Linked DNA regions of Canis lupus familiaris. The protein of the gene in region 3 interacts with the protein of the main gene of each other region in a pairwise test. Links are inferred from orthologs where the notes say so. Each region holds a gene or a part of one and is shown on either strand. Other genes may lie near its edges.

What was found.
Region 1: the proteins of ALAS1 (region 3) and CDC73 interact in a two-hybrid assay, tested with the Homo sapiens proteins (3 studies listed by BioGRID and IntAct). The two-hybrid records come from large-scale screens. The link is inferred for Canis lupus familiaris from reciprocal best matches to the Homo sapiens genes ALAS1 and CDC73.
Region 2: the proteins of ALAS1 (region 3) and PPL interact in binary tests that used the Homo sapiens proteins (3 or more experiments, as listed by UniProt). The two-hybrid records come from large-scale screens. The link is inferred for Canis lupus familiaris from reciprocal best matches to the Homo sapiens genes ALAS1 and PPL.
Region 4: the proteins of ALAS1 (region 3) and ZMAT1 interact in a two-hybrid assay, tested with the Homo sapiens proteins (2 studies listed by BioGRID). The two-hybrid records come from large-scale screens. The link is inferred for Canis lupus familiaris from reciprocal best matches to the Homo sapiens genes ALAS1 and ZMAT1.
Region 5: the proteins of ALAS1 (region 3) and LONRF1 interact in binary tests that used the Homo sapiens proteins (3 or more experiments, as listed by UniProt). The two-hybrid records come from large-scale screens. The link is inferred for Canis lupus familiaris from reciprocal best matches to the Homo sapiens genes ALAS1 and LONRF1.
Region 6: the proteins of ALAS1 (region 3) and POLDIP2 interact in binary tests that used the Homo sapiens proteins (3 or more experiments, as listed by UniProt). The two-hybrid records come from large-scale screens. The link is inferred for Canis lupus familiaris from reciprocal best matches to the Homo sapiens genes ALAS1 and POLDIP2.
Region 7: the proteins of ALAS1 (region 3) and DUSP19 interact in a two-hybrid assay, tested with the Homo sapiens proteins (3 studies listed by BioGRID and IntAct). The two-hybrid records come from large-scale screens. The link is inferred for Canis lupus familiaris from reciprocal best matches to the Homo sapiens genes ALAS1 and DUSP19.

What each region holds. Positions count from the first base shown.
Region 1 is NC_049259.1:6,545,089-6,549,349, forward strand, and holds the start of CDC73 (parafibromin), read right to left. Parts: upstream 2,859-4,261; coding exon 2,728-2,858; intron 219-2,727; coding exon 113-218; intron 1-112.
Region 2 is NC_049227.1:36,814,171-36,817,765, forward strand, and holds part of PPL (periplakin), read left to right. Parts: intron 1-1,635; coding exon 1,636-1,790; intron 1,791-2,468; coding exon 2,469-2,589; intron 2,590-3,084; coding exon 3,085-3,210; intron 3,211-3,307; coding exon 3,308-3,346; intron 3,347-3,595. UniProt on the Homo sapiens protein: Component of the cornified envelope of keratinocytes. May link the cornified envelope to desmosomes and intermediate filaments. May act as a localization signal in PKB/AKT-mediated signaling.
Region 3 is NC_049241.1:37,967,728-37,971,322, reverse strand, and holds part of ALAS1 (5-aminolevulinate synthase, nonspecific, mitochondrial), read left to right. Parts: intron 1-1,159; coding exon 1,160-1,387; intron 1,388-2,218; coding exon 2,219-2,368; intron 2,369-2,788; coding exon 2,789-3,011; intron 3,012-3,595.
Region 4 is NC_049260.1:76,214,507-76,218,871, forward strand, and holds the start of ZMAT1 (zinc finger matrin-type protein 1), read right to left. Parts: upstream 2,830-4,365; 5' UTR 2,791-2,829; coding exon 2,511-2,790; intron 2,390-2,510; exon of another isoform or gene 2,254-2,389; intron 1-2,253.
Region 5 is NC_049237.1:37,049,434-37,053,028, reverse strand, and holds part of LONRF1 (LON peptidase N-terminal domain and RING finger protein 1), read left to right. Parts: intron 1-194; coding exon 195-309; intron 310-3,196; coding exon 3,197-3,318; intron 3,319-3,595.
Region 6 is NC_049230.1:42,576,376-42,580,420, reverse strand, and holds the start of POLDIP2 (polymerase delta-interacting protein 2), read left to right. Parts: upstream 1-1,157; 5' UTR 1,158-1,208; coding exon 1,209-1,369; intron 1,370-2,727; coding exon 2,728-2,809; intron 2,810-4,045. Other genes in the region: TMEM199 (transmembrane protein 199), read right to left, coding at 791-1,001. UniProt on the Homo sapiens protein: Involved in DNA damage tolerance by regulating translesion synthesis (TLS) of templates carrying DNA damage lesions such as 8oxoG and abasic sites.
Region 7 is NC_049257.1:26,447,211-26,451,439, forward strand, and holds the start of DUSP19 (dual specificity protein phosphatase 19), read left to right. Parts: upstream 1-1,350; 5' UTR 1,351-1,409; coding exon 1,410-1,635; intron 1,636-4,229.

The DNA.
Region 1 (4,261 bases), on a different chromosome or scaffold from region 3:
AAACCTTTTTTCTTTTGATTTGAAACCCATGAGGGAAGTGATCCATGCCAAATAATACCTACCACCAAAAAAACAAAAACCCAAAAAAGTTTTAAAATACATTTTTACTTACGGCTGCACGTCGGACATAAACAGGATGAGAAAGGTGCACATTATTAAGTAGAAACAAGATAGAATCCAATGTGTAGTACTCTCTGGGTTGGCCTTCTTTTCCAGTCCTGAAGTAATTAAAACAAAATTTTCCCTCAATTTTAATTCAACTCTTTGGACTTCATTATACACATGAATTTATCTATATTTGCTTTGTTACCCAAGAAAGGATTTAACATGGCTAACAAAAATACCCATAAAAGTATGAAATTTAATAAGTGGAAATGTCATTAAAGCAAAAGAACGCAAAGAAGACAGAACAAGAAGCAAGAAGGAAAGCATACCGTATTCACATTCTAAGGTACTATATACTTTTTAGAATTTGGCCCAAATTTGGTTCTATCTGGCCTTTGTCAACAGAGAGAGAAACCTTATCAGTTATAGACTGGAAAGGAGCCACAAGAGAAAACAAACTGATGAGGAGAAGGACAACTATTACCAGTGCTAAACTTACAAGAAATTTATCCTATGTCTCCTAAGTAAGTACTGCTATAAACAACATCCTTAACAACACTCTTACAGTAAACACAACTATGAATTTCAGAGGTGTGATTCTTACGACATCCCTCAAAAATTTAACCAATAGTGTAAAATCACAATGAATTGTGATAAAACAATGCAGTTTATAGGGGCAAGCTTTTTTAATGAAATCACATAATGCTATCTGTTCAACAGTATTCATGTCCAATCTCACCCTTCCTACTTAAATTCTCCTCACCTAAAAACATCATCATTTAAAGTCATCTGAATGCAGCCCAAAATAATCAGCCCCAAACTACAATTCTAGCCTGCATTGCCACTTCTTTAAACTGACATCTTTCAAACCATATTATCACTACCAATTACTGTACGATGAAATATAACATACAGGTAACCAGTTTATCTTAATGATATACGAGAGCAAAGTCACAATGTACTGCCTGCAAGAAGGGACTAACTATTGTTTACAGTTATGAGGTTGGATGTATGTACACACGCATACAGAGATGAACTTAAACGAAACGAAAATATATTTATTGGGGTGATTCACTGTTGTCAAAGCTTGAAGTCGCTCTAAGTAGTTCTTTTTCACTACTGGCTTCGTTGGACTATCAAGAAACATTTCCCTCCCAGCTCACAGGCTGTTGAGCGCACAGTTCTTCAAGACCTACCCCATCATGTCATCCTCAAGTTCTTCACCCATTCTTTAAAGCTTACTCATCTGTGCATGAAAAATGTGTAGCACGTCTACATCCCAAACACACTTCCATGAAACCTTTCCTAACACCCCAAGCTAGAAGTGGTTCCTCTCTTAAGGACCAGAGCGCATTTCTCACCAACTTCTGTTTTCTCTCATCTCCTCTTGATTAAGTTAACCTCCTTTGAGTCGGGAATCAAGGTGCTAAGAATTTTCTCTATTTCTCAGATCGAACTGCCTGCCCTACACCATTACTACTTCTTAACCACAAGGGAGGAAAAAAAAAAAAAAACAGTTAAAATTCCAATCAAATGCGATTGTCTGCGTAAATTCAAAGGACAAAACGCAGGGAACTCAGAATGATGTCACTGCATCAACATGTCATAAAGCTAATCAAACCATAAGCCCTCGAGGCCAAAAAAAAAAAAAGTAGCAACCAACAAACTACATCTTCCCTAGCTTTTCATCCACTCTTCCTTCATAAAAGCCCAAGGTTCCCCCCATTCAATCGAGCCAAACGGGTATGGAGGTTCTGGCCCAAGGTTCTAAGCATTCGAGGGAAGTACCAACGACACAGAAACATCACTACAAAGGTCCCGCACGATCATCGGACCTATTTCTGGATAATGTTGCCTCACGACTTGATATTCAGGAAACCCGGCACGGGATCAACATTCTTAAAACCTCGCTCTTCAGAGCACGTTTCCTAAAACCCCACACCACCCTCGGGCTCTCCCCGCCCCCCCCCCGTCCCCATTTCGCCCGGCAACTTTCTCCCTGAGGAAACTCCTGCCTTCCGCCCCCCGCCAAGAGGGGCTGTGAGGACTCTTCCCGAGTGACCCCATCTTTTTCCCGTTCTGACTTCTCTTTGCTCTTCCTGAGGGAAGGAATTACGGAAGGGAAAGCAACAGACCAGGAGCTGCAAGGGGCAGCAGGGATACTTACAACCACACAGGGCAGCCTCCAAGAGAGAGGAAAAAACAACAACAACAAAAACACCCAAACTGAAGAACACAACACAGCAAGGCGTCCCCAGGACCGGACGGTGTGCCCCTTTCTGCACCTACACACGTTGCTGACACTCGACCACTTACCGGCAAAAATGAACCAGAAAAGTCAGGAACTCCCCAGCTCCCTCTCCCTGTGGAGCCCCAAACACTGACACAAACGGCCCCGTCCAGGCGCACCTCCTCCTGTTCCCTCCTCACCTAAAAGTACAACTTCTTTTCCAGTGAGAAACTTTTACTCAGAGCCCCGGTTCTTTTGGGTTTTTTTGTTTTTTGTTTTTTGTTTTCCCCTCCATCCCCCCAAGGGAACCGGGGGGAGGGGTTAGGAAAGAGGTCGCCTGGGGGCGCCCCCCTCTGCCGGCCCTCCTCAGGCCACAGCCGTGCCGGACCTACCCCCAAACCACATAGTTGGTCTTCACGTTCTTGGGCCACGAGAACTCGCCGAAGATCACTTCGTCTCCCTTGACCACAATCTCCTTCTTCTGGATGTTGTACTGTCGCAGGACGCTGAGCACGTCCGCCATCTTCCCCCCCCTCGCCGCCGCCGGCCCCGGGCCAAGCCGCCGCCGCCGCCGCCGCGCCTGCCGCCTTCTTCCTCAGTCGCCTCGCCCTCCTCCTCCGCCGCCGCCGCCGCCGCCGCCGCCGCCGCCGCCGCGCACCAACAGCAGCCGCAGAAGCAGCCGTCCTCGCCTACGACAGCGGCTGGGGCAGCAGACACCCAGGCCGCCGAGGACCCCGCGCTGGAAGGCAAGGCCCCGCCGCCGGCTGCCCGCGGAGAACGCCTGACTGCGCGCCGCCAGCGCCGCCAGCGCCGCCAGCGCCGCACGGCCGCCGCCAGGGGGAGCCGCCACCGCCAGGCACACGCCCCTCCCTCCCAGACTCCCACTCGGCACCGGGCCGAATCCCGGCCCGAAACTCCGAGCGCGGGGACACCGCGCCCACGTACGGCGCACGTACGGCGAAGGCTGCCCGCGCACGCGCACGCCCCTCCCCCCGCCTCGCGACAGGTGCGCGCGCACCTGCAAGGAAGCCGCGTGCGGCTGCTGTGCCTGGGCGCGCGCTGGGCGGCCGCCGACGCACCTGGGCTCTCGGCTCGCTTCCTTGGAAGCGATGGAGCTTCGCGGACTTGCAGAGCCCTAGGGTCACCTTACCGACCAAGTGAGACCCATTAAGTGGCCTCCAGGTCTCAGTGATCAGACGAGCCCCTTTAGCAGGGGGAGGATGCTGGGGGGAGCGTTGGTTGGGCCTCAGGGTGTCCCTTCGCAGAGTGGGGAAGACCGAGCCCCCGGGAGACCAGCCCCAGTCACCTGTATCTCTTACCTGCTGTTTGACCTTGGCCAAGATAACGTTGTCACAGCATTAATTGGCTACTGGAGAAAAGGGGTTAGCACGCGAGTAAGATGAAAGGAAGCGTCTAGCAAATCATCAAAATAACATAAATGTTGGATCTTCCACTTCATTTCCTTAGATGATGACTTTTTTCCGACCTGGCCCATTCTCCCTGCCAGCCTCAAAGCGGTATGTTTAAATGGCTCTGTTCAGAGAGCCTAAGGAAAAACTTAGAAAACAGACTCCAACCTGTCAGAATTTGAACACTTTCGAATTGATTTTTTTTTTTTTTATTGGCACTCAAATGGCCATGCTGGAATCAATGAAATAAATTCAACATATAGAGCCCTTTACACCTTAAAACCTTAAACACTAAACATACGGGGCCTGTATTTTTTTTTTTTTATTATTCCCTTTACTAGAGCAGAAGGGGGGGGGGGAGGGAGAAGGCAACTTCTTTATTGTCATAACCAAAATCTTGACATGCTTTCAAAGGGATCCATTTTTATTATGTGCACTATAGAGGAATATAGAAGGGTGTGGTTCACTTCTTACACTATCTATAACCATTTTGCAAATGAATCTGAAAAATTGTGTC
Region 2 (3,595 bases), on a different chromosome or scaffold from region 3:
TTCCGATCGATACTCCCCAGAGGTACCGCCGTGCCGACCTCTCGCCATCCATCGAGTTGCCCCTGTGAGCTCTTGAACACCTACGTGGCGTCCCTCGGCTCGATGTTCTTTCTGGTTTTGGCTAGCGGGTTTCGAGAGGGCTTGCGTTCCCACACAGCGTTTGCGTGAATGAGGTAATGATTACTTTGCTTCCCCTCCTGCAGAATTAGTCTCTGACACTGTAACTGCCCGAGAGCTGCAGATCAGCTGGAAATGATGGAGTGGCTGATGTTCCATCCAGGCCAAGAACCCTGAGGCTTTATTGTATTTTTTTTTCTTCCACTGGCCAGCCCCACCCCGGGGTGGAGAGAGCGCCCAGCCCCACTCCGGGCCTCCCCTCCAAGCCTCTCGGGGCGCCAGGCCCCACCTGCCCCCCAGCCTCCCTGGAGCTGGCCGGGGAACGGATGGGCTGAGCGCCTTCTCTTCTCCCAACAGAGGGGTCTGGTCCTTATTCTGGATCAGGAAGCACATCACCTCATTCGCTTCTTTTTGCTTTTTTTTTTTTTTTTTTTAAGATTTTATTTATTTATTTATGAGAGACACACAGAGACAGAGGCCAAGACACAGGCAGAGGGAGAAGTAGGCTCCTATGGGGAGCCCGAGGTGGGTCTCGATCCCAGGACCCCGGGATCCCCCCTGGGCCGAAGGCAGATGCTCAACTGCTGAGCTCCCCAGGTGCCCCTTCTTTTTGCTTTTGCAGCAGGTTTATTAGGTGTATCTGACGTATAAGACTCTTGCTGCCCTGCTTGCCCTTTCGTTGTCTTTCCCTAAACAAGCAGAGGGGGATCCCTGGGTGACTCAGCAGTTTAGCGCCTGCCATTGGCCCAGGATGTGATCCTGGGGACCCGGGATCGAGTCCCACATGGGGCTCCCTGCATGGAGCCTGCGTCTCCCTCTGCCTGTGTCTCTGCCTCTCTCTCTCTCTCTCTCTCTCTGTCTCCCATGAATGAACAAGCAGAGACCCTGTCCCTTCAGCAACACAGACCGTGCCTCCCAAATATCCACCCGCTCTGTCTACTCTCACCATTTCTGCAGCTGCCGCCCCCGACCAGCCACCGTGAGCTCCCACCCGGCCTTGTCACACCGCTGGCCGCCCTCCTGGCTGTGCTCTTGCCCTGTTAGAGCCCTGAGGCATTGCCATTAAGGATAGATGGGGCCTCGTTGCTTTGCACGTCTCCCACCTCCCTCCCCAGCCTGCCTTCCTGCCCCAGGACCTTTGCACAGACTGTTTCCTCTGCCTACAACACTCTTTCCTTTCATCCTTGGTTCTTAGCTTATGTCACCGCCTCCGAGGAGGCTCACTCATCCCCGGATATAAAGCAGGTCCTGCTGTTGCACCTCCGGTGTGTTTCCTTGATAAACACCGACTTGTATGGACTTGTATTTACCTCCGTGAGGTTTCTGTGTTTATCTGACCGGGCTGGGCGGAGCCTTGCCTGTTCATTCAGAGCCCCCACAAGTGGGTACGTGGGCTGTTTGTTGAAGAAAGGGGGGCCCGGGGAGCCCCTTGCTGGCCCTCTCCCCCCGCCCCTCCCACCCCGACAGTGCCCACCGGGTCCCCATCCACTGTCCCCCTTCCTGTCTTGACTCTCTCAGGACCTGGCCCGGCTGCAGGAGGGCCGACAGCCCGAGCACCGGGACGTGACCCTGCAGAAGGTGTCGGACTCAGAGAAGCTGCTGTATGTGCTAGAGGCGGACGCAGCCATTGCCAAGCACATGAAGCATCCCCAAGGAGACATGATTGCCGAGGAGTAGGTCCCCCCGCGCCAGGCCCCTGGGACAGGGCAGGAAGGCTGTAGGCCGCTCAGTGTTCCGGAGCCCAACGCGGGGTTCACCAAGGGGCATGTGCCCAACGGTGTGGTTATCCTCCCTCCTCAGGGAGACTGAGGCTCAGCACTGACGTCCTCTGTTCTGGTCCCAGTGTGACCACAGCTCCCTGACCAGCACGCTGTCCCGCCTCCCAGCTCCTGAGCACGCTCTCCCGCTCCCAGCTTCCCGTGTTCACCGCACCCCCCTCAGCTCAGCTGTGGATAAACTGGCACCCAAAATGCCTCCCAGCTCCTTCTGCACTCCCCACCCTGGCAAGGGCAAGGGCCTCTCTGCGCCATCCCTGTCCTGGCCCAGGCCACCCCTGTGGTTCCTGCTCCATGGTGGGCTCCGGGGAGCAGTGGACCTGCTTGTTTCTTCCAGAACCTTCTATGGTTCTGGGCACACAGTAGGCCCTGGGAATACATTGATAGGAGAAGAAAGGGCGAGGGAGGATGTCAGTGATTGGATGACAAGGCCTGGGTCGCCGTGTCCTTCCAGGCCACTGAGCAGAAAGCCCCGGGGCCAGGGTCTGGGGTGGGAGGCCCCTCCCGGGGGAAGGGGGTGGGCAGTGGGGCTGCCAACCAGCCCTGCCAACCAGGATGGCCACTCTCCCCACTCAGCATCCGTCAGCTGAAGGAGCGCGTGATCAGCCTCCGGGGGAAACACAAGCAGATCTACAACCTGGTGGTGAAGGAGGTGGACCCACAGGTCAACTGGGCAGCGCTGGTGGATGAGAAGCTGGTACGGCCCAGGCTGCAGCTGTGGGCAGGGGGTACCCCGCCATCCAACGGCTTCCACGGTCCCGCCTCACAGAGGGTCACACTCCTGATGGTGCCCGACGTCGGCACCAGTGAGAAGAGCACGGCTCAGAGGTGTAGCGCCTGGCCCAGTGTCCCTCAGCCGAAGTGGTGGAGACTGGGCACCTCCGGGAATGCTCTCCAGCTCTGGTTGTCGGGGCCCAGGCAGGCTAGCCCGTCTCCGGGTTGTGTGTCCCCCGACCAGGCCTCTGTTTCCCCATCTGTGAAATGGAAATGACAACCGTGGGGGCCTCTGAGGTTACAGTGAGATTCAGTGAGATGACACGTGTAGGGCACGGTGGCAAAGGTGACAGTCTCCCCTCCACCCCGCCTCTCTCCCGGGGCCCCTTGGCTCCCTCCTTGGTTCTTGGGGTGGCTGGGCTGCGAGTTCGGGGCCCTCGCCCACCCTCTGTCATGGTCTCTCCGCCCGCCCTCCCAGGACAAGCTGAGCGGCCAGGGCTTTGGGACGGACCTGCCACTGGTGGATCACCAGGTGGAGCAGCACAATATCTTCCACAACGAGGTCAAGGCCATCGGGCCGCACCTGGCCAAGGACGGCGGCAAGGTGCGTGCGGTGGTGGCCTGGGCCTGGGCCTGGGCCCCGGGGAGGAGGGGTCACGCCTGCGGCCTCCCTGTGACCCGCAGCCCGGCTCTATCCGCAGGAGAACAGCGAACTCCAGGCCAAGTACCAGAAACTGCTGGTGAGAACTCGGCCCCCGGGGAATGGGAGGGGAGAGGGTGGGATGTGGGGGGATTGGGGGGACAGGAAGCGTGTGCAGTAAACATTTCTAACAGAATGAAAGGGGTTTGCGTGTGAAGGAGATTGTACCCTGAGCCCCCACCTGAGAGGTGCTGTGGTTTGCTAGTGGAAAAAACCCTAACAGGTCCCCTGGATACAGCCCATCCTACAGTCCACTTCTTATTTCCTCACTAGGCACCATCTGTGTGCC
Region 3 (3,595 bases):
ACTTGTACATAGAGGGGAAAAAAAGATAATTTACCAAGGTTCCTGCAATGGCTATGTTTTGAGGAATAGAACACTATTATTCTAGGTTTCCCACAGTGAATGTATATTACTTTTATAATGAATGAAATGAGCTTCAAAGCAATTGTTTGACTTTATAGAAGATTTTAACAAAAACAGTATTGAGGGATCCCTGGGTGGCGCAGCGGTTTGGCGTCTGCCTTTGGCCCCGGGCGCGATCCTGGAGTCCCGGGATCGAGTCCCACGTTGGGCTCCCGGTGCATGGAGCCTGCTTCTCCCTCTGCCTGTGTCTCTGCCTCTCTCTCTCTCTGTGACTATCATGAATAAATAAATAAAATTAAAAAAAAAAAACAGTATTGAGACATCTTACCCAAGTTGTTAGGAAAGATTAGCCTCTGACTCACAGTATTCCAGGATGATGCAGAATAAAACTTTACTAGAAGGGTGAATGAATTTGCTCTAGGGGAAAGAGAAGTCATTGTGACTCGAAGCACAATTACCAGCCAACTGGGTTAAGTCAGTGCACTTCTTTGATGCATTTAGATGAGCAAGTAGATGAGGTGTGTGAATGTGATACCCCTTTGTTTTTTTTTTCTTAACATAGTAATAATTTGAACTCTATTAGACAACAATAGAAAGACCTCACTTTTAGCCTAATTTCTTTTGTTGAGTAAATCAGTAGTTTATATGTTAAGCAACAGCAAGCTTCTTTGTCAAGAATCTTTCAAAAATATTAGCAGAGAAAAAATTGTATGAACGTTTCTATTAACCTTCAAGAGTGTGTCCTCTCATGAAAAATGCTATGTGTCCTTAGGGTGGATTTACTGGAAATCCTCCAACTCAAAAAGTCTAGGCTGTCTAAAACTAGAAAATACTACTTTTTTGCGGATTTATAAGGAAAAATAGGGGTTTGAGAGATAGCTGGATTGTGCCAATTAACTCCTCATGGGAACATCGTTTCCAGTGAGGCAGATGAGAAGACCATTCAACTAGCAGAACCTAATAAAAACAAACTTCTGCCTGATATGTAGGGGTAGAGTAAGTAAAAAGTTTGTCTTGGAAGCAATAAGAGAAACAAGGGGCTTTCTTGTGTATTGTGCAACTAGGTCTGATGCTTCAGTTTTTCCATTTCACCCCCCAGAGGACAAAACTGCCAAAGCCGAGGTTCAACAGACTGCTGACGGATCCCAGCAGACTCCAGATGGCACGCAGCTTCCGTCTGGACATTCCTCCCTTGCCACAAGCCAGGGCACTGCAAGCAAATGCCCTTTCTTGGCAGCCCAGATGAGCCAGAAGGGCAGCAGTGTCTTCCGCAAAGCCAGTCTAGAACTTCAGGAGGATGTGCAGGAAATGCATGCTGTGAGGAAAGGTAAACACATGACTGGAACCATTAGGAAGAATGAAGAGGTCCTTTTGGTTCTTTTGATCCTTCAAATTTGTGTATGAGCTATTATTAGGGTAGTATTTGTATAAAAAACTTCCTCTTTTAGGGCCAAGGAAGAAGGTCATCAAGATAGGCGGTTAGAGGACTGTCTGAGAAAATGCGGGACTTTCTTTCTGGGGTGTGTGTAGGATGTGACCACTTTTTATAGTAATTGCTTCATTCTGAAAATACCCTGTTGGCGTAAGCTATTAACAACTGCCCTTTGTTTCTTTCCTGCCATCCTGTGGGATAAAAGGTAAAAAATAGTGTTTCTGCAGTAAATGATGGTCTTAGGACTCCTAAGCTGTGTATCTTACCGATGGTCACTAAGAGGCAACCTTAATTCCAGATGTGGCTGTATCCACAGAGCACCAAAAGTCCCCAGAAAACCTCACCAGCAGAAATGATATATATGACCAGAATTGTCTTCTGTGAAGAAAATTGAGATTAGGGTTGGGTGGAGTGGGAAGGTGGAGAAGACCTGCTAATAACCAGCTAGAAAGCTTTGGACTCTTAATATTCATTAAAGCTGTCTGGTAGCTTTGAAAACAAAACAACACTAGGCATTGGTCATTAAAATAAAAGGGAAGAACCAAAGCTTCATATTCTTGGTTGCTACTACTAGCTTTGGTTATGCTCAGCTGCTGTGTGTGTGTGTGTGTGTGTGTGTGTGTGTGTGTGTGTGAACTAAGCAGTAATTAATTTTTGACGATATTTCTGGGAAGTATTGTGAACTCAGAATGTTGGTTCCCTTTTTTCTTGTTACTTTCATTACAGAGGTTGCTCAAACCTCCGTGAACCCTAGTGTAATTAGTGTGAAGGCCGATGGAGGGGACCCAAGTGGATTGCTGAGGAACTTCCAAGATATCATGCGAAAGCAAAGACCAGAAAGAGTGTCCCATCTTCTTCAAGATAACTTGCCAAAATGTAAGTCTCATTGTTATTTACCTGATGTAGGAGAGGATTTTTAACTTAAACATATATTAGCTTAAACACAAAATTGCATGGTGAGTTGAGGATTAAAACTCATGTCTCTTGCTTGATGCAGGTAGGTGTTCTCAGCCATAGTAAATACAAATCCTGTTGGTAACATGTTTTCTCTCCCTGAATACCTACCTTCTATGCCCTGGCACTGTGCTAAGCAATTGACATACACGGTCTCATTTGAGACCTTCATAGTCTCAAGATGAGGATGTCCTATAATTTGCCCACATGAATACTTCGTTAATTTGTCCAGAATTACCCTGCTGCTAGGTGACCAAGCTGGGGTTGGAACCCAGGTCTTTTGCCAAAGCCCAGACATGCTTCTTAACTGTCAAACTGTCCTGTCTTTTGTTTGGTTTTTAGCTGTTTCCACTTTTCAATATGATCGTTTCTTTGAGAAGAAAATTGATGAGAAAAAAAATGACCATACCTATCGAGTTTTTAAAACTGTGAACCGGAGGGCGCACATCTTCCCCATGGCAGATGACTATTCGGACTCTCTCATCACCAAGAAGCAGGTGTCAGTCTGGTGTAGTAATGACTACCTTGGAATGAGTCGCCACCCACGAGTGTGTGGGGCAGTCATGTACGTAGCCCTCAGCTTTCAGATACCATTGACGTTATTTGGCGAGACATTAATGATTTAGAGGGATCTTTTATGGGGGCAATATTCAGCAGCTAAAAGTGTGTCATAACACACTATTATTTTAAGCTTTTAAAGACATCCACAGATGACTTTTAAGCTAGAATGCACAAATAGGTATGTGAGGATTCAAGTGTATGGGCACATTGACTATTCATGTCCATTTCTTACCACTTCTCAAGTGAGTGCAACTTCAACCCCGGGCCACCTTGCACAGAGGCATCCTTGCTGATGCCTCGGTTGGAGAGATACAAATCTAGCAGCACTGGAGGAAAAGCTACTTCAGAAAGACACGAACAAGGATGGTAGATCCTGTCATTCATGTCCTTCCGGAGGTTTGCCATGACTAGGGACATTTGAGAGAGTTGCTTGCCAAAGTCTCCAAGGGAGGCTTGTTAAAGAGATTACAGTCTGAGGTGTAGTGATAGATCTATCCTAATATTATGTGACTGGTTTCTGGAGAGTAGGTTCAGGTAATCACCATCTAAGATGTCCCTGTAGAGACTGATGTTGTGTTTGGAGAGAAG
Region 4 (4,365 bases), on a different chromosome or scaffold from region 3:
AACCACTTTTAATGGTCCTATCTGGAGTGGACTTGTAGTAACTGGAATCTTGACAATTCTTTGTCACCGTTTAGATCAATTTCCTAACTTGGGCTTAAAAAATAAACAGGCAAAAGATACTGGCACACCATCAAGTGACATTTTTCACTCTTCTTTATCCACTATCATATAACTGCCAACCATTTATAGTATTTATAAATATCTAAAAAAATTTGAGACCTAATAATGTTTTGGACAGTGTACTATATCATATATTTATCTTTTGTTAAGTGGAAAGGTAAGAAAGTTTTGGTTTGGAGTGAACAGTTAATGAAGGTTATTTACCTAAAATGACATGGTAGGAAATAATTTTTAGGTAGCAATTATATTTGTTTTTTCATATCCTAGTAAATGATCTCAACACTAACAACACAGATTTCATTACTCACTGAATGTCAAGTGAAAACTATGGTCAAAGTTTCTCATGGCTTATGAATTACTGCTCTAATGCACAGCCATGGAAATGTCCTGGAGAGTATCAATGCAGAACTACAAAATCATGGTTCATACTTTCAGATCTGAAATCAACCTTGGAGTCTGGCTGGTCCAATACTTCTATTTCAGAAATGTCAAAACCCAAATCTAGGAAGTCTATCATCTGTTCAGGGTTACAAAATCTAGTAGATAAACAACAGAACCTAGGTTCACTGCACCAGACTCTTATGCTGCAGCCCTCTTCATTTTGCCAGCTAAAAATAATGTATACAGGGTATTGCTGCTACATTATGAATTTATATCTCTTAAAGCCATTAATACCTATGTAAATTCAAAGATACTATAACCAAGACAGTCCCAGAGACAGGCAAAAAGCCATTTATTTGTTCCATGAGATACTGGTCCTAAACCTTACTGTGAAAAGTCCATGACAGCCAGATTGAATCGTGATCTTGACCACTTTTAAAAACTGTTCTCTCCTTCTTTATAGTCATACATAGTTTGGTATAAAAACAAAAAAAAATCCAGATTTCATATTTTCACCCTCAAACAACTGTACAAATCCAGGATGACTAAAGACACTATAGTCTTTCAAAGGCTGCCTTTAAAAAAAAAAAAAACAAAAAACAAAAAAAACAAAGGCTGCCTTTAGTAAGAGAGTTAATAAAAAAAAAAAGACATCACCATATCACCGTGTATTTCTAACTTCCATACTTAGTAAGTGGCATTTATGTAATGTGTCTATGACAAATACTGTAAAGGATTTTTTTTTTACTGCTTTGCCATTCCTCCAAAGTGAAAGGTGTGAAAGGCTATGAAATAGCACACAGGAATGTACCATTTAAGAATGTGAAGAGAAAAACATTTTTATGGGGTAATTTTAATGGGATGTCCTCCTAAGAAAAAGGAACTTAAATTGTTCTACTCCATTTTGGTGTTCACGTCTTTCAGTTGGGAGGCAAGTTAGCAACATGAGGTAACACACAAATACTGGAAATTATGAAATTTACGATGGCAAAATGCTTTACCTTAAATCTTCTATAGTGGACTCGGCCTCAACAATCTAAGAATAAGAAGCATTTCCAAACACTGCTTTAAAACACATTTCAATGGCAAATTTTACAGTTTGCTATTAGTAGGCTGTTTACCAGTATATAGTATTTCGTGTGAACTAGATACCACTTATTACTGAAATAGTTAAGAAATCTTTTTTATGTTAGGAGTAGTATGTGTTGGTAGGTACAACAGCACTTACTAAAATCAAAACCATCTCACTGATGGGCCCCTAAACTTTGCTCTATAAGGTCACACCCTCAAATAGCCAAAGAAAACTCTCCAAAGTGATTTCTGAAATCTGTGCTTCTACCACACTCTCTTCCTTTATTTTCTTAGTACAACCCCCTCCGCCAGACCCTATGATCCTACAATCTAACAGCTCCTACTTTAAAGCTCAAGTATACACTCTAACCTCCCCAATTTCCTAACCTCCTCTCTCTTTAAATATCCCACAGCAAGTTTCCACTGCAGGATGCTGAATTTCACCAAAGGGGGTTTGCTCCCTTTTACTTATTTCTTCGGCCTTTCTCTTCTATCTCTGCCCCCGTTCTGCATCAGTCCCCCTTCCCTTTTCCTGACCCTCCAGTTTCACACCATTTCTACCTTAAGTCCTCTCTTTTTATCAAATCACACCTCAGCTTCGTAGACCATACTAAGGCACCCTGGCTGGGAGAGAAACTATGTGGTATTTTTCTTCCCTTCAAATTCCTGCCGTGTGAATACCTGCAGCTCCTTTTCCTGGGGACCACCGCCAACCTTGAGAGTGGGGGAAGAAGTAGGGAAGCCCCTCTCTGCTTCAGTCCATCTTGCACACTCGGGGCTACTACGGCAGGGCGGGGCGGGGCGATCTTGGCCTTTACTGCGCCACAGCAGGTGGGGGGTGGGGCGGTGGCGAACCGCGCCCAGTCCGATCTCGGACGGGCTGAAGAGAGGCAGCGAAGGAGATGGGGCCGCCCCCACACCCCGGGACGGGAACTCACCTTCTCTGAGGCGAGGGCGGGTGTCTACTTTAAAACTACTGCCCCCCCTCCCCGCCGCCGCCATAGTGGAGCCGCCAAAGCCGCCGCCGCCGTCGCCACAGCCACCGGCAGGCGGGAAGGCAGGGGTGGAGGTGGCGGAGGAGGCAGGCACAATCACTGCCGCCGCCACCGCCGCCGCCGCGCAGGCGGTGTAGGAGGAGGAGGAGGCGGCAGAGACGGTAGCTTCCTGAGGGGAAGACTCCGCCGCCAGCGGTGTGACTGTGCTCGGCGCCGCCGCCATCGCAGCGAGGCGCGGACAATTGCACTTGCGCCTCGCTCCCGTTAAGCTCTTTTAGCCCCGCCTCCAGCTTAGCCCCGCCCCCTTCGCCCCTCTCTTCCACGCTTCAGCTCGAGCCTCGTTCTCGCTCCTTCTCCCCACCAATAGGAACGCTCTAGACCCACGGGCTGCCCCTCCCCCTTCCTCCACTGCTTGACGTCACCCGCTTCCCTTTGGAGGGGAAGCGATGATGGCCAAGGGCAAAGGGCAAAAAGCGCGGGATGTAACAGCACGTGGGACTCACACTGTGAGGCCTCTTCCCTTGGAGGAGCTGATCTGAAACCAATTTAAGGGTAAAGAAAATGTTAGAAAACCAGTTGATTCCCACTTCCAAAATATCTCTTTCTTGTAGCCCTCAGTACAGAGGAGATAAATAAGCGAATATTTGGTGAATACTTGGTCATTTGCATCGTGGGGCCGTAAACGACTACTTATCTATCCATCTACCCATTTAAATTATGGTAAAAACCTGTGAATCTGGTACCCAACCAAAGAACTAGGATATTACTGATATTTTAAGACTTCTCAATATTTTCCCCAACTGCCTTCCTGCGTCCCAAAGGAACCAATATCTTGATTTACATTTATTATTTCCATTCTCTTTTTACACATATTCTTATACATGTATGCCTAAACAGTGTTTTTTACTTTTGTTTTCAAATTTCACAACATTTTGTATCTTATTCTAGGTAGCATTTTGGGACATTTTTCTTTTGCTAAACATTTTGTTTCTAATATTCCTCTATGTAGCTGTAGTTCATTCACTAAAAAAAAAGATTTTATTTATCTGTTTGATACAGACAGACCATGAGGAGGGAGAGGGTGGTGGGAGGAGCAGACTCCCTGCCGAGTGGGGCTTGATCCCAGGACCTTGGGATTATGACCTGAGCTGAAGGCAGATGCTTAATCAGCTGAGCCACCCAGGTGCACTACTTCATTCACTTTTAATGCTGTACAATATCACATCCGTTTCCCTGATGATGGATATGTGTCCTGGTGGAACTGTGCAAAATTTGCTCTTGGGCATGCTCTCCTTTTCAGTCTCCCATCCATTGCCCTGTTTCAAGGCGTCATCTCTTGTCAGAACTATGGCCTCTGTCCTACTGGTCTCCTTTCCTCTGATCTCAATCCCTTTTAGTGCCCCCACCTCACCACTTATTTTATGGTTTAGCTATATTAAATTAATTACAGATTACTATGAAGACTGTCATTTCATTATGCAATGTTAGTATATGTTGTTCCCTCTTCCTGAAATGCCCTTTTCCCCACATTAGGCACCTGTCTAATGAGCCCTCATACAACCTTTGAAACCCAGATAATACATCTCTTCCTCCAGTAACCTGTTCTGTCCTACTTAGCCTTAATTCCACCCTCCACTGTGCTGCCCCCTACATCTCATGCATATTTGTATTGTTTGCCTTCCTTCTCCATAGCCTGGGATCATCTTGATAACAAAATACACTTTGTTTTGTTTTTGAATTCTTGTGCTCTAGCACAGTAAAATTCTGGGACCAAGGTCATAAACCAGTGGTTTCTAGG
Region 5 (3,595 bases), on a different chromosome or scaffold from region 3:
ATATTTTATATTATTCACATCTCTGAAATCTGTTATGTATTTTACATTTATTGTACTTATATTTATCACTGCCCCTTCCTTCCTCTCCTGCTCACTAGATCCTCCTTCTTCTTCAAATAGAGGTCTATTATTTATTCACTTTTTCCAATGTATAGTTTAACGTGAAAACTAACATGTATTTTGGTTGGTTTCAGGTTGTTTTTTGAGCCAGTAACAACCCCTTGTGGACACTCATTCTGTAAGAATTGCCTTGAGCGTTGTTTAGATCATACACCATATTGTCCTCTTTGCAAAGAAAGCTTAAAAGAGGTAAACATTTGTATATTTATCTGTTTATTGGTCTTAAGCTTGGCAACATTGATTTCTGTTTGGCCATAGAAATAGTGATTACCACGTTCAGAATAAGTTACTTTATGTATGCTAAGTGACCAGGAAGGATAACGTTTCATTACCCAAATGCTAGTGGTGGAGAAAGAAGAATTTAGAGAGCATAGGGGAAAGTTAGGTGGTCCTGGAGGCCAAGCCCCATGTACTTTTTTTTTAACAAGATCTGGTGTGATCAAGTACCTGGTGTAGAATGGGTTCAATTTTAATGACAGTATTGGGGAAACCCAGTTGCCCTGCCTTCCATCCTCCTCAGTAATAGGCTAGATTTTGGCCCCAGTTCTGCCCCCTTTAACATCTGGACAAACTCTAATAGAATTTTTTGCCTTGATGGAAATGCTCTATACTATGCTGTCCGCATGGTAGCCACTAGTCACATGTAGTAATTAAGCACTTGAAATGTGGCTAGTGTGACTGAGGAACTGTATTTTAAATTTTAATTCTCATTTAAGTAGGCAGAGGTGACTGTGGCTACCATTTGGGCAGCACAGCTCTAAAGAGTGGTATATGGACAGAAGAGCTTCCCATAGCCCTTGTATAGCCCATGTGTTAAGGAAATAGCTAGATCTCAGGTGCATATCCTTCTGTAACCAATGGAAAGACAACATTCTACCAATCCTGCTTGGGTGACTGGAACCCCCCCCCCCCCCCATAAGGTGAGGCCCAGGCATCATAATTCTGAGCTCCAACTGCAAGGATGGCATTGATTAGGGAGAGTGATCCTGTTTCTTGTGGTGATAGGATTGCTCAAAAAAAATAAAAAGTTGATAAGACATTTTGTAAATGAATGTGTGTATTTATTTCCTATATAGAAAACACAGCTCTGTACAGATATGATACCATATGTGTATTATTAATTTGATATATAATAAGCTTGTATGTAAAACATTAAACCATATACAAATTTTGTCCAGAAACAAGATAAACTCATTCTTAAAGAGTTTGTTAGTTACATTTCAGCTGATATACTTAATGTTTTCAGGTGAAGTACTCCAATCATGCTGTTTTTCTTGTGTTTCCAGGTTTTTAGATACTCTGTAGCACATTTATCACACTTTTTCTCTAATAATTAGACACGATGGCTTTAAATAAAGATACAATTAACACACTGTTTAAAAATAACCTTATCCTGTGTCTTAAAGATATCCTGTATAGTAGGTAAAATCTAATATATATCTTAAAAAACAAATTGATATGCTCTATAGTTTTACTCTTTTCCTACTTGTCATTTTCTTTTGCTCATTTTTTCATTTGAATGTATTCTAAAGATAGGATTTTTATAGCAACATAATAGTTCATTGATTTAACATTTCCCTGTTGTAAGTTGTTTTGTTCTTTTTTTATATATACTACACTTTGTGTCTTTGACTATATTTCCTTAAGATAAAATTTCTGGAAGGTGAATTATTAACCAAAAGCCATATATTCATAAGACTCTTAAAACCAATTACTGGGTTGCCTACATTCCCCAGAAATATTGTACAGATTTAATTTCCTATCAGTAATGTAAGAGAGGTGGTTATTTCCCCAAATTTAATATAAGAGTATTACATTATATATTATTATTATATAGCCCCATGGTTTTCAAAATGTGTTCCCCTTCACCTGGGAACTTGTTAGAAATACAAATTCTCAGACCCTACACTCCACAGCCACTAAATCAGAAACTCTGTGGGCTAGGGCTCAGCAATCTGCATTTTAACAAGCCCTGATTCGTGCTGAAGTTTGAAAACCACTACTGTTACCCGTTTCCCAACCTCCCACATTCCCTCCTCCTCCTCTGTTCTTCATTGGATAATGACAAACCCTTATTTTTGCTACATCTGCAGATTTTAAAAGTATGGCTTCTCTGTATCTTGTGATTGTCTCCCAAAAGTCATTCCTCACTACTTTTATGAAATTTATATTGGTCATTTTTGTGTTCGAAAATCCTGTACACACCCTCTGACCCGGTCCCTGGCCTTAGGCAGTTTTTAAACTTATCTACAGAAATATAATGTCTCCTTGTCCATGTAATGAATACGGTGCAGGGTGTGGTAACTGCCTTTTATGTGGTAAAGGCGGTAGAAATGGGCTTCTTGCGAGCCAGAAAGATAATTAAGGCAGACTTCACGAAAAAGGTAAAGATGTAGCCAAGCCTTGCAGGATAGGCAGGCTTCTCATAGCAGGAGGGAGAGAGGCACGGCTTTTAGCAGTTACTAGAGAATGACAGAAATGTGTGAGTGGCAGTTTTGCAGAGTATTGAGGGAGCAGTACAAATGCACCATTTTATATGGAGAGGGACACAACCTCTCGCTGAGGGTCTGAGTGATTGATAGTAGGTGATGAGGGAAGCAAAAATCTGAAAGAAAAATTATCTGGAAACTCTGCCACTGAAATGGAACAAGAAAGGGAATAGTTTTGCTTTTCTTAAATAAGGCACTTGCCTTTATTTTATTAGCTTATTTTTGTTTCTCAGTTAAAATGCTAGTTTGAAGTACCCAGAAGCTGCCCGATAGAAGTTGGCCTTTGGTGTGGGAGAGGGCAGGGCAGGCCTGAGTGCTGCTAATAGAGGATTCGTGGCCACAGCCAGACAAGGGTCTTCTGTATAGGGCACGGTTTCCACTGCAACCGTGTACCTTTATTGGTCTCAGCACAGCCTGGACAGGTTGACCTGTTTAGCACCATCTGTTGTCATGTTCCCCCCCTCACCCCTTAATTCAGAATTGACTGTATAAATATGTAATAAAGGCTTTACTCTATTCAGTTCAACTGTTTTGCCTGTTTTATACCATAGGAAAAGTACTGGAATGTAAATAATATTGTCTTTTAGTATCTAGCAGATAGGAGGTACTGTGTCACACAGCTGTTGGAAGAATTGATAGTGAAGTATCTGCCTGATGAGCTGTCTGAGAGAAAAAAAATATATGATGAAGAAACTGCTGAGCTCTCACAGTAAGTTTCTTCTCATAAAGTTAATGTAATCCCCACCCTTTGACACAGTAAGGCGACCTCCTCCCAGCAAGCTGGATCCTGTCTGCAGTTCAACCCAGTCTAGCCAAAGGCGTATTTTAAACAAATAACTGGTCAGCTCCCCCCTCTCCTCAACAGACAGAAGTTTTTTTTAAAAGTTTCTTTAGTAACTTCCAGATGTTCCACTGGGGGTTGCCGACTCAGCTCTTCACCCCGTTAGCAGGCTTTTAGGCGGAGGAGGAGGGATTTCCTGCAGTGA
Region 6 (4,045 bases), on a different chromosome or scaffold from region 3:
TGTAGGTAAGTAAAGAAGGAAAGCATCTTTAGACTTGTCATAGTACAAAGTAATGAATTAAGTATCTTTGTCAACAAGTATGTTTTAGTTCTAATAGTTGAGTGGTCTACCCTTTGTACCTCTGGATAGGCTATGTTAACTCTGGCAAAAGACCTTACAAACTAGTTTGTCCTATTCCCTTCCTTTACAGTTAAGGGAACTGAGACCCAAGGAAGAGAAATGAATTCTCCAAGAGGACTTTGTGGCAGAGCTAGGACTAGCACTCAGATGCTACTCCCAGATCAGGTCTTTCAATACGGCTTTCCATCATCCTACGTGGAAGAAAAAAAAAAAAAAACAAGAAAAAGAGAAAAATAAAAAACCCTATCAGATTTGGCTTGCTTTTGAGATGGAAAGAAATTCAGATTCCCAAACAGGACAAGCTCACTGTCCTACGTCATTTTCTAATGTGGCTTTTAAGAAATTGAACTTGTGCGGCGGTACTGGTTTAAAACTAGACCTCCTCAAAGGTCAGGCGGCCCGGAGTGGGCTGCGTAGTGAAGGGGAGACTCTCAAGAGAGCAGAAACGGCACAAGAAAATTCTCGGCCATCCCGAGAAAGCCCCATCCACGGAAGCTGTTAAGGGAGTGTATTGCCCTACGGTTTATGAGGTGACTCTTGGGTTGGTTAGATGACCGTTCCGCGGGTGACGGAGAGTGATGGCATTTTTTTTCCCCCTCGTAACGATGCCAGAGGTGGGAGAAGACTCTGGAAAAAGGGAGGTGAGTCCGGGCTGGAGACTGGGGCTCACCCGTCTCTCTCAGGTACTGATGCAGATCTCGGATCAGGCGGAAGGGAACCAGGCGCGAGGGGCCACTGGGAAAATCACCGTCCTTGTGCTTCTCCCCCAGCACGGCTTCAAGTTCTGCACGCAGCTTCCGGGGCAGCTGCTCTGGCTCCAGCTCCCCACCGGGAGCCAAAGCGCGCACCAGCCGACCACCCGCACGCAGGCAGGACGCCATGTCTGCCGGACTTAGGGTCAGGTGACGCGGGGCCGGGACTTCCGCCCACGGCGCGCCGGAAGGAGCCTGCGGCTCGCGGGGCGGGCTGAGCCCGGCCGGGGGCCGAGGGGGCGGGGACGCGGCGCGGGGCAGTGTGGGGCGGGGGCAGAAGGCCCGCGGCCGCGGCTTGGGCCCAGTGTCGGCCGCCGAGCGGGCGCTCCGCGGGACATGGCGGGCTGCGTGGCCCGGCGGGCCCTGGCCGTGGGCAGCCGCTGGTGGGCCCGCTCGCTAACCGGGGCTCGGGGGCCGAGGCCACTCTGTGTGGCAGGTGGAGCTGGGGCCTTCCCGCCAGCGGCGGCAGCGACGACGCGGAGGCACCTCTCGTCCCGGTGAGGGACTGAGCGCGGGGCCCGTCCCCGGAGCCCGGGGAGCGTGTTCCGGCCAGCGAGGCGGCCGGGAGGCTCGGCCGGCCGAGGGTGACTGGGGTGCGACCTGGGAGAGGGTCCCGGCGGCAGCCGACCCGCCCTGCCTGGGACGTGCGCCAGGAACAGAGAAGGGAGCGCGGCCCAGAGCCCCGGGTTACGCCGGGCTGGCCCCGAGCGGGAGCTAGTAACCCTCCCAGAGCGAATCCTGCCTCCCCAGATGGGGATCTCGGGCGCTGTTGCTAGTGGGCAGCCTTTTAATTAGACTTTAGGGCTCTGACATGAACCCCAGCCCCGGGTTAGGACAAGGCCTCCCTCAGAAAGATGCTCGAAGTGGGAAACAGGACTTTTAGGAGGGCCCTGCGTAGGGCCCAGGTTTCAGCGTGACCTTGGGGAGACTGGTTCTTAGTGTGTGACCCGGGGAGGGGGCTTGAGGTCACGGGATGGTGTGAGCATGGCCTCTAGCGATGGGACAGGCAGGTCAGACGGCCTGGAGGATCAAGTGAGGGGGAGCATACGGTTCACATCTCCAAAAGGCTAAGAATAGCAGACCTTGGAAGGACCCCTAGAAAGAGCAGCCCTGTCCAGAGAGACCACTGAGAGAACTGACCTTTTTGGGGGGGGCTGAAATTAGACACTGGTGTTGGGGAAAGATGGATGATAAGTATTTGCACCTTAAGACCCGAGGGAAATTTGATGTAAATCTGAACAAAAACTAGATTGAAAGACTACTAGGTGCAATGCGGGGAGTGCAGTAGGACGTATGGTGATAATGGTTAAGCCCTTCAAGGGCAGGGTGAAGGCTGCAGTTTCTGGGCATAGACAGAGATGGAATTAGAACAAATGTTTTACACACTTGGCTCTGAGGGGGAACACAGGCTCATCAGACGCAGGCATTGCTCCCAGAGAACCTACGGTCTCTAGTGGAGATGAGACATGGGCACAAATAACAGAAATGCAAGGTGGGAAGGGCGGTTAAAATGCTGTGGGAGGTCAGGAAAGAAACAGGCAAGAGGTACAAATAAGCAGGGTGCGAGGGCATGATATGAGGAATGCTGAGAGTGAAGAGAGAAGAAAGTGATGTGGGAGCCGTCAGACATAACACAGAAACCGAGGCAGGGCCTGTGGCTAGATCTCAAAGAGGAAAAGACGGGATCTGGAGTGGTGGTTTGGCAGGACCCTTCCCTGCTTCACCTGCCCCACGGCTTGGGCCTTTCTCTGCTGTCACTGCCTGGCCCCTCGGTATCCTAGTAGCTTTTTCTGATGGGCTAGGTACCATTACCTCCTCAGCCTTTCAGTTGCTTGTTCTTTTCCTTCCTAACCAGAAACCGACCAGAGGGCAAAGTTTTGGAGACGGTTGGTGTATTTGAGGTGCCAAAACAGAATGGAAAATATGAGACCGGGCAGGTGAGTGCTGGGCTGGGTCATTTTTCATTTTCAGGATATGCCCTGCATCTTGAAAGGGTCAGCTTCGGTCATAGGCTCGAATGTTATAGTTTTCTGCCTTGGTGTTCAGTGCCAGACCAGAATCACAGATTTTTTAAGATGGGGTTTCTGTTTTCCTGGATCTGAATCCTTTTCATGTATCAAAGGGTTCTCTTTCTAAGTTAGCGTGGACAGAGATAATTTGAACCAAAGGAAGGAGAGAGCCAGATTGTTGAATCCTATAATTTAGTGGAAGGTGGGAAGCCAGTGAAGGGAGCTTTCAGAAAAGCAAAGCTTTGGATGCCTGGGTGGCTCAGTGGTTGTGAGCGTCTGCCTTCAGCTCAGGGCGTGGTCCCAGAGTCCCATGATTGAGTTCCACAATGGGCTCCTCACAGGGAGCCTGCTTCTCCCTCTGCCTGTGTCTCTGCCTCTTTCTGTGTATCTCTCATGAATAAATAAATAAAATCTTAAAAAAAAAAAAAAAAAGAAAGAAAAGCAAACCTTTGGGGGTGACTGGGAGGCTCAAACAGTTAAATGTCCAACTCTAGATTTTGGCTCAGGGCATGATCTCAGGGTCCTGGGACCGAGCCCCACGTCTGACTCTGGCCTAGGTGTGGAGCCTGCTATAGATTGTCTCTCTCCCTCCCCTTCCTCCCTCTCTAAAGAAAATAAGAGAAAGAAAGAAAAAAAGAAAAACAAACTCTTGATTCTTTGTCATAGTTGAACTGATTGCAGTATAATATAAGCTGTGGGTGTGAGATTCTTGTTTTCGTTATCAGCTTTGTGCGAGATCCACTGAGATAGATTTAGGCCCCTTGTAAGTAAGGACTTTTTGTTTACTCAACTTCCCGCTTGAATGCCTGCAATGGACCAGGTGTTGTGCATTGAACTTGACTCAGAAAGCAATGCCTTCGTAGCGCTGGCAGTCTAGAGAGGAAGTCTAGATGGAGTCTGTGGCTAAGCATTATGCTAAGTGGAGGGGAGGTCAGGGAAGGCTTCCTAGAGCTCTAAGCTATGGTCTAAAGGATCAATAGAAGTCAGCCAGGTAAAGAGGAGGTAAGAGTGTTCTGAAGCTGGTGAGGGTAGATCACAGAGTTCAAGGGAAAGATTGGCAAGATCTTGTGCTGGGATTGTAGCCACCTGTGCCGCTTAGCAGTCTGAGTCCCACCTGGAAGGACTTGTGGACGTGGACTGCTTCCTCACTGAGGCTCTCTTTCC
Region 7 (4,229 bases), on a different chromosome or scaffold from region 3:
CCGTGGACGGAGGGGGCTCCGAGGACGAGGGGGTTGCTCCATGCTGGGGAGACGGCTACGCGGGGGGGGGCTCCGTGGAGGGAGGGGGCTCCCAGGATGAGGGGAGGGGGCTCCGCGGACTGGGGGGGAGGGGGCTCCGCGCACGGGCCCCTGGAGGGAGGGGGGAGGGGGCTGGGGGGGCTCCGAGGACGGGGGGGTTGCTCCATGCTGGGGAGACGGCTACGCGGGGGGGCTCCGTGGAGGGAGGGGGCTCCCAGGATGAGGGGAGGGGGCTCCGCGGACTGGGGGGTAGGGGGCTCCGCGCACGGGCCCCTGGAGGGAGGGGGGAGGGGGCTGGGGGGGCTCCGAGGACGGGGGGGTTGCTCCATGCTGGGGAGACGGCTACGCGGGGGGGGCTCCGTGGAGGGAGGGGGCTCCCAGGATGAGGGGAGGGGGCTCCGAGGACTGGGGGGTAGGGGGCTCCGAGCACGGGCCCCTGGAGGGAGGGGGGAGGGGGCTGGGGGGGCTCCGAGGACGGGGGGGTTGCTCCATGCTGGGGAGACGGCTACGCGGGGGGGCTCCGTGGAGGGAGGGGGCTCCCAGGATGAGGGGAGGGGGCTCCGCGGACTAGGGGGGTAGGGGGCTCCGAGGACGGGCCCCTGGAGGGAGGGGGGAGGGGGCTGGGGGGGGCTCCGAGGACGGGGGAGGAGGGATCTCCGTGGAGGGAGGGGTCCCCGCGGCCAGGGGTGTGCTCCGCGGGGGGAGGCGCTCCGCGGAGGGGCGGATCCGCGCCCGGGTGGGGGCTCCGAGGACGGGGGCGTCTCCGCGGGGGGAGGGGCTCCGCAGACAGGGTGTCCCGCGGGGGTCTCCGCGGAGGAGCCCGGGCGCCCTGGCCCCGTCCCGCGCCTGCCGCCGTGGCCCCTGCGCGGGGTCCGAGCGACGCGGAGCGGCTCCGCCGGCAGTGCCCGCCCGGAGGGCCCGGAGCTCCCGCGGGGGTCACCGACCGACCTGGGGGCGCCTGGGGCTCGGCGGGGGGGGGGGGCTCCGCCTTCGGCCCAGGGCGTGCCCCGGGGTCCCGCACCGAGCCCCGCATCACATCACCGGCCCGCAGGGCGCCTGCGCTCCCTCTGCCCGCGCCCCGGCGTCCCTCACGAACCAATAAGTAGAATCTTACAAAAAAAGTAAAAAGAGAGCCAGAGCCAACAGCAGCCGGAAGGAGCCCGGCGGCCGGCCCAGCGCGGACAGCGGGGCAGGGGCGGGCGCCGGAAGTAGCCAGCCCCGAGGCGCGGCGGCGGCCAATCAGGTGCCGCCTTACTGCGACGGCGACGCCCCCGCCCCTGCGCAGGCGCACTCCGCGCTCCTCCCCCGGCCGTTTCCGGTTCCGCCCGGGCTGGCCGGCAGCGGGTGGCGGGGCGCCGGGGGCGCGGGGGATGCACGCCCTCAGCCAGGAAATTCGCGCCTTCTCCCGGAAGGGCCTGCGGAAGCAATGCACCAGGGTGACCTCGCTGACCGGGAGGACCACCGTAGAAACATGGGACGGCGCGCGGCGTGTCGTGGTGGAGGCCGGGCCGCCGGGCCGCGGGGGCAGCTGCGGATTCGTGCCGGACCTCAGCCTCGACCTGCGGGTCGCCGTCCTGAAGCCCTGGTTGCTGCTGGGTGAGTCCGCGCACCTGCCGCTGCCTCCGCCCCCCCCTGCGGGCCCTGAATCTTCCTCGGGTCCCCCCCAACCCCCGGATGCGCGGTGCTCTAGTCTCATCACGCATCTTCCCGAAAAGCCGAAATGTCTCGTTATTTCTCAGATTCGGGACTTGGCGAGGGCCGGCCGGTGGTGTCTGCCCCACAGCATAACCCGCAGGCAGCCCAGGTGCTGGGAGCGCACCGCACCTGCTGCTTGGATCTTGGATTCGAGAACAGCTTACGGCCTGGTGCTTTTTTTTTTTCTCTGCAGGATAGCATGTCCACGTTGCATTTTCTCGGATTATACACGGGTATAGGCTCCCAAATCATCAAGTTAAAGGGAATGCTTTCATTAGGTAGGACTGTGAAGAGGCAAGGGTTGAGGTCACAGAAACGAACCAGCCAAGTGCCTGTTGCCTCCTGGGCTGCTGGGAACCCGGTGGAAGGCCAGCCTCCCGCGGCCCATCCAAGGGCCTGCTTTCGGAGTCTTACGGAGGGATGCAAGACTTGAAGGAATAGGAGACTTTACTTTGTAGCTGTGGATTTGATAGTTTTATGATTTCCTTTTTTTTAAAGGATATTTTATTTTTTTATTTATTCATAGAGACAAGAGAGAGAGAGGGGCAGAGACACAGGCAGAGGGAGAAGCAGGCTCCCTGCAGGGAGCCAGATGCGGGACTCGATCCTGGGACCCCAGGGTCACACCCTGGGCTGCAGGTGGTGCTAAACCGCTGAGCCACCGGGGCTGCCCATGATTTCCCTTTTTTAAAAAAATATTTTATTTATTTATTCATGAGACACAGAGAAAGGCAGAGACACAGAGGGAGAAACAGGCTCCATGCAGGGACCCCGATGTGGGACTGGATTCCAGGACCCCCAGGGTCATGCCCTGGGGCCCAAGGCAGACGCTCAACCCCTGAGCCATCCAGGCATCCCAGCTTTATGATTTCTTGTATGGTGGAGAATATTGTTTCCCTATACAGTGCGTGGTCCACAGATAGTAAATGAAGCACAGGTATGAAAAGCACACACACCTGTTGGCTTGGCAAGAGTTTGTTACGGTAGTCTTTTTTTTTTTTTTTAAGATTATTTATTAACTTATTTATTCATAAGAGACAGAGAGAGGGAGATAGAGAGAGAGGCAGAGAAGCAGGTCCCATGCAGGGAGCCCGACGTGAGACTCGATCCTGGGTCTCCAGGGTCAGACCCTGGGCTGAAAACAGGTGCTAAACTGCCGGGCCACCCAGGGATCCCCTACACTAGTCCTTTTAAAAAAAAAAAAAAAAAAAGACAGCAATGTGTTAAGTCGATTTGGATTCTTTTTCATTTGTGAATAGAGAAATTATGACTTGGAAAGACCAGTGATTTGTCCATATATATGCATTCTTGAGTAGAACAAACCCTGAGCTGGTGGGCGTCAGAAATAGCCACATCCTGTTGTGCAGCACACACAGCATCTCCTTTAAAAACAAAACAAAAAACACCACCTTTCTTTATAGAGTAGGGATGATCGGGGCAGCCGGGGTGGCTCAGTGGTTTGGCACCGCCTTCAGCTCAGGGCCTGATCCTGGAGTCCCAGGATCGAGTCCCGTGTCAAGCTCCCGGCATGGAGCCTGCTTCTCCCTCCGCCTGTGTCTATGCCTCTTTCTCTGTCTCTCATGAATAAATAAATAAATATTAAAAAAAAAAGTAGGGATGATCAGCTCCGTTTCACAGATGGGAACTGGATTTAACAAGGGTTAGGTAGTTTGCACAAGCTAACACGCATAGTACATGACAGAGCTGGGCATCTAGCCCGAGTCTGATCCACTCCTGGTCTACACTGTGGTTTAGGATGCCCCAGGGAGTCAGGTTTTCAGTCTTCCTCGGCCTCTTGGTAGATGAACTAGCACAAGTCCTTCATTCTCTGTGGTTCCCCAAGAAACCTGCCTGTAAAACTAAGGCCAAGGTATCTGTTTCTCTCACAGGGTTATCCTGAGGTGGTGAAAAGTCTTTGAAACAAATTAATCACAGCTCACACCGGATTTGTTACTGTGTTATGCAGTGCACTAATCGCTCCATGAGCTATCTTGCATTTCAGATAAATGTCCCCAGCTAGTTTCTGAAGCCCAGTGAAAAATTAAGGGGTCATTTAGCTAGTCTGAAAGGTTTACCCAGGACTTGCACACCACTCTTCCTAGGAAGGAAAACACGCCCAGGCACCTTTTTTGGTTATTCAGCTTCCATTGTAGCAATAATGGTTTAAAATACTATGGTAGAATTTTATTTTATTTTATTTTTTAAGATTTTATTTATTTATTCATGAGAGACCCAGAGAGAGAGCCAGAGACACAGGCAGAGGGAGAGGCAGGCTCCATGCAGGGAGCCCAACATGGAACTCGATCCCGGGGCTCTGGGATCACACCCCAGGCCGAAGGCGGCACGAAACCGCTGAGCCACCCTGGGCTGCCCCAGTATGGTATAATGTTTTTTTTTTTTTTTTAAGATTTTATTTATTCAAGAAACAGATAAAGAGGCAGAGACACAGGCAGAGGGAGCAGCAGGCTCCATGCAGGGAGCCCGATGTGAGACTC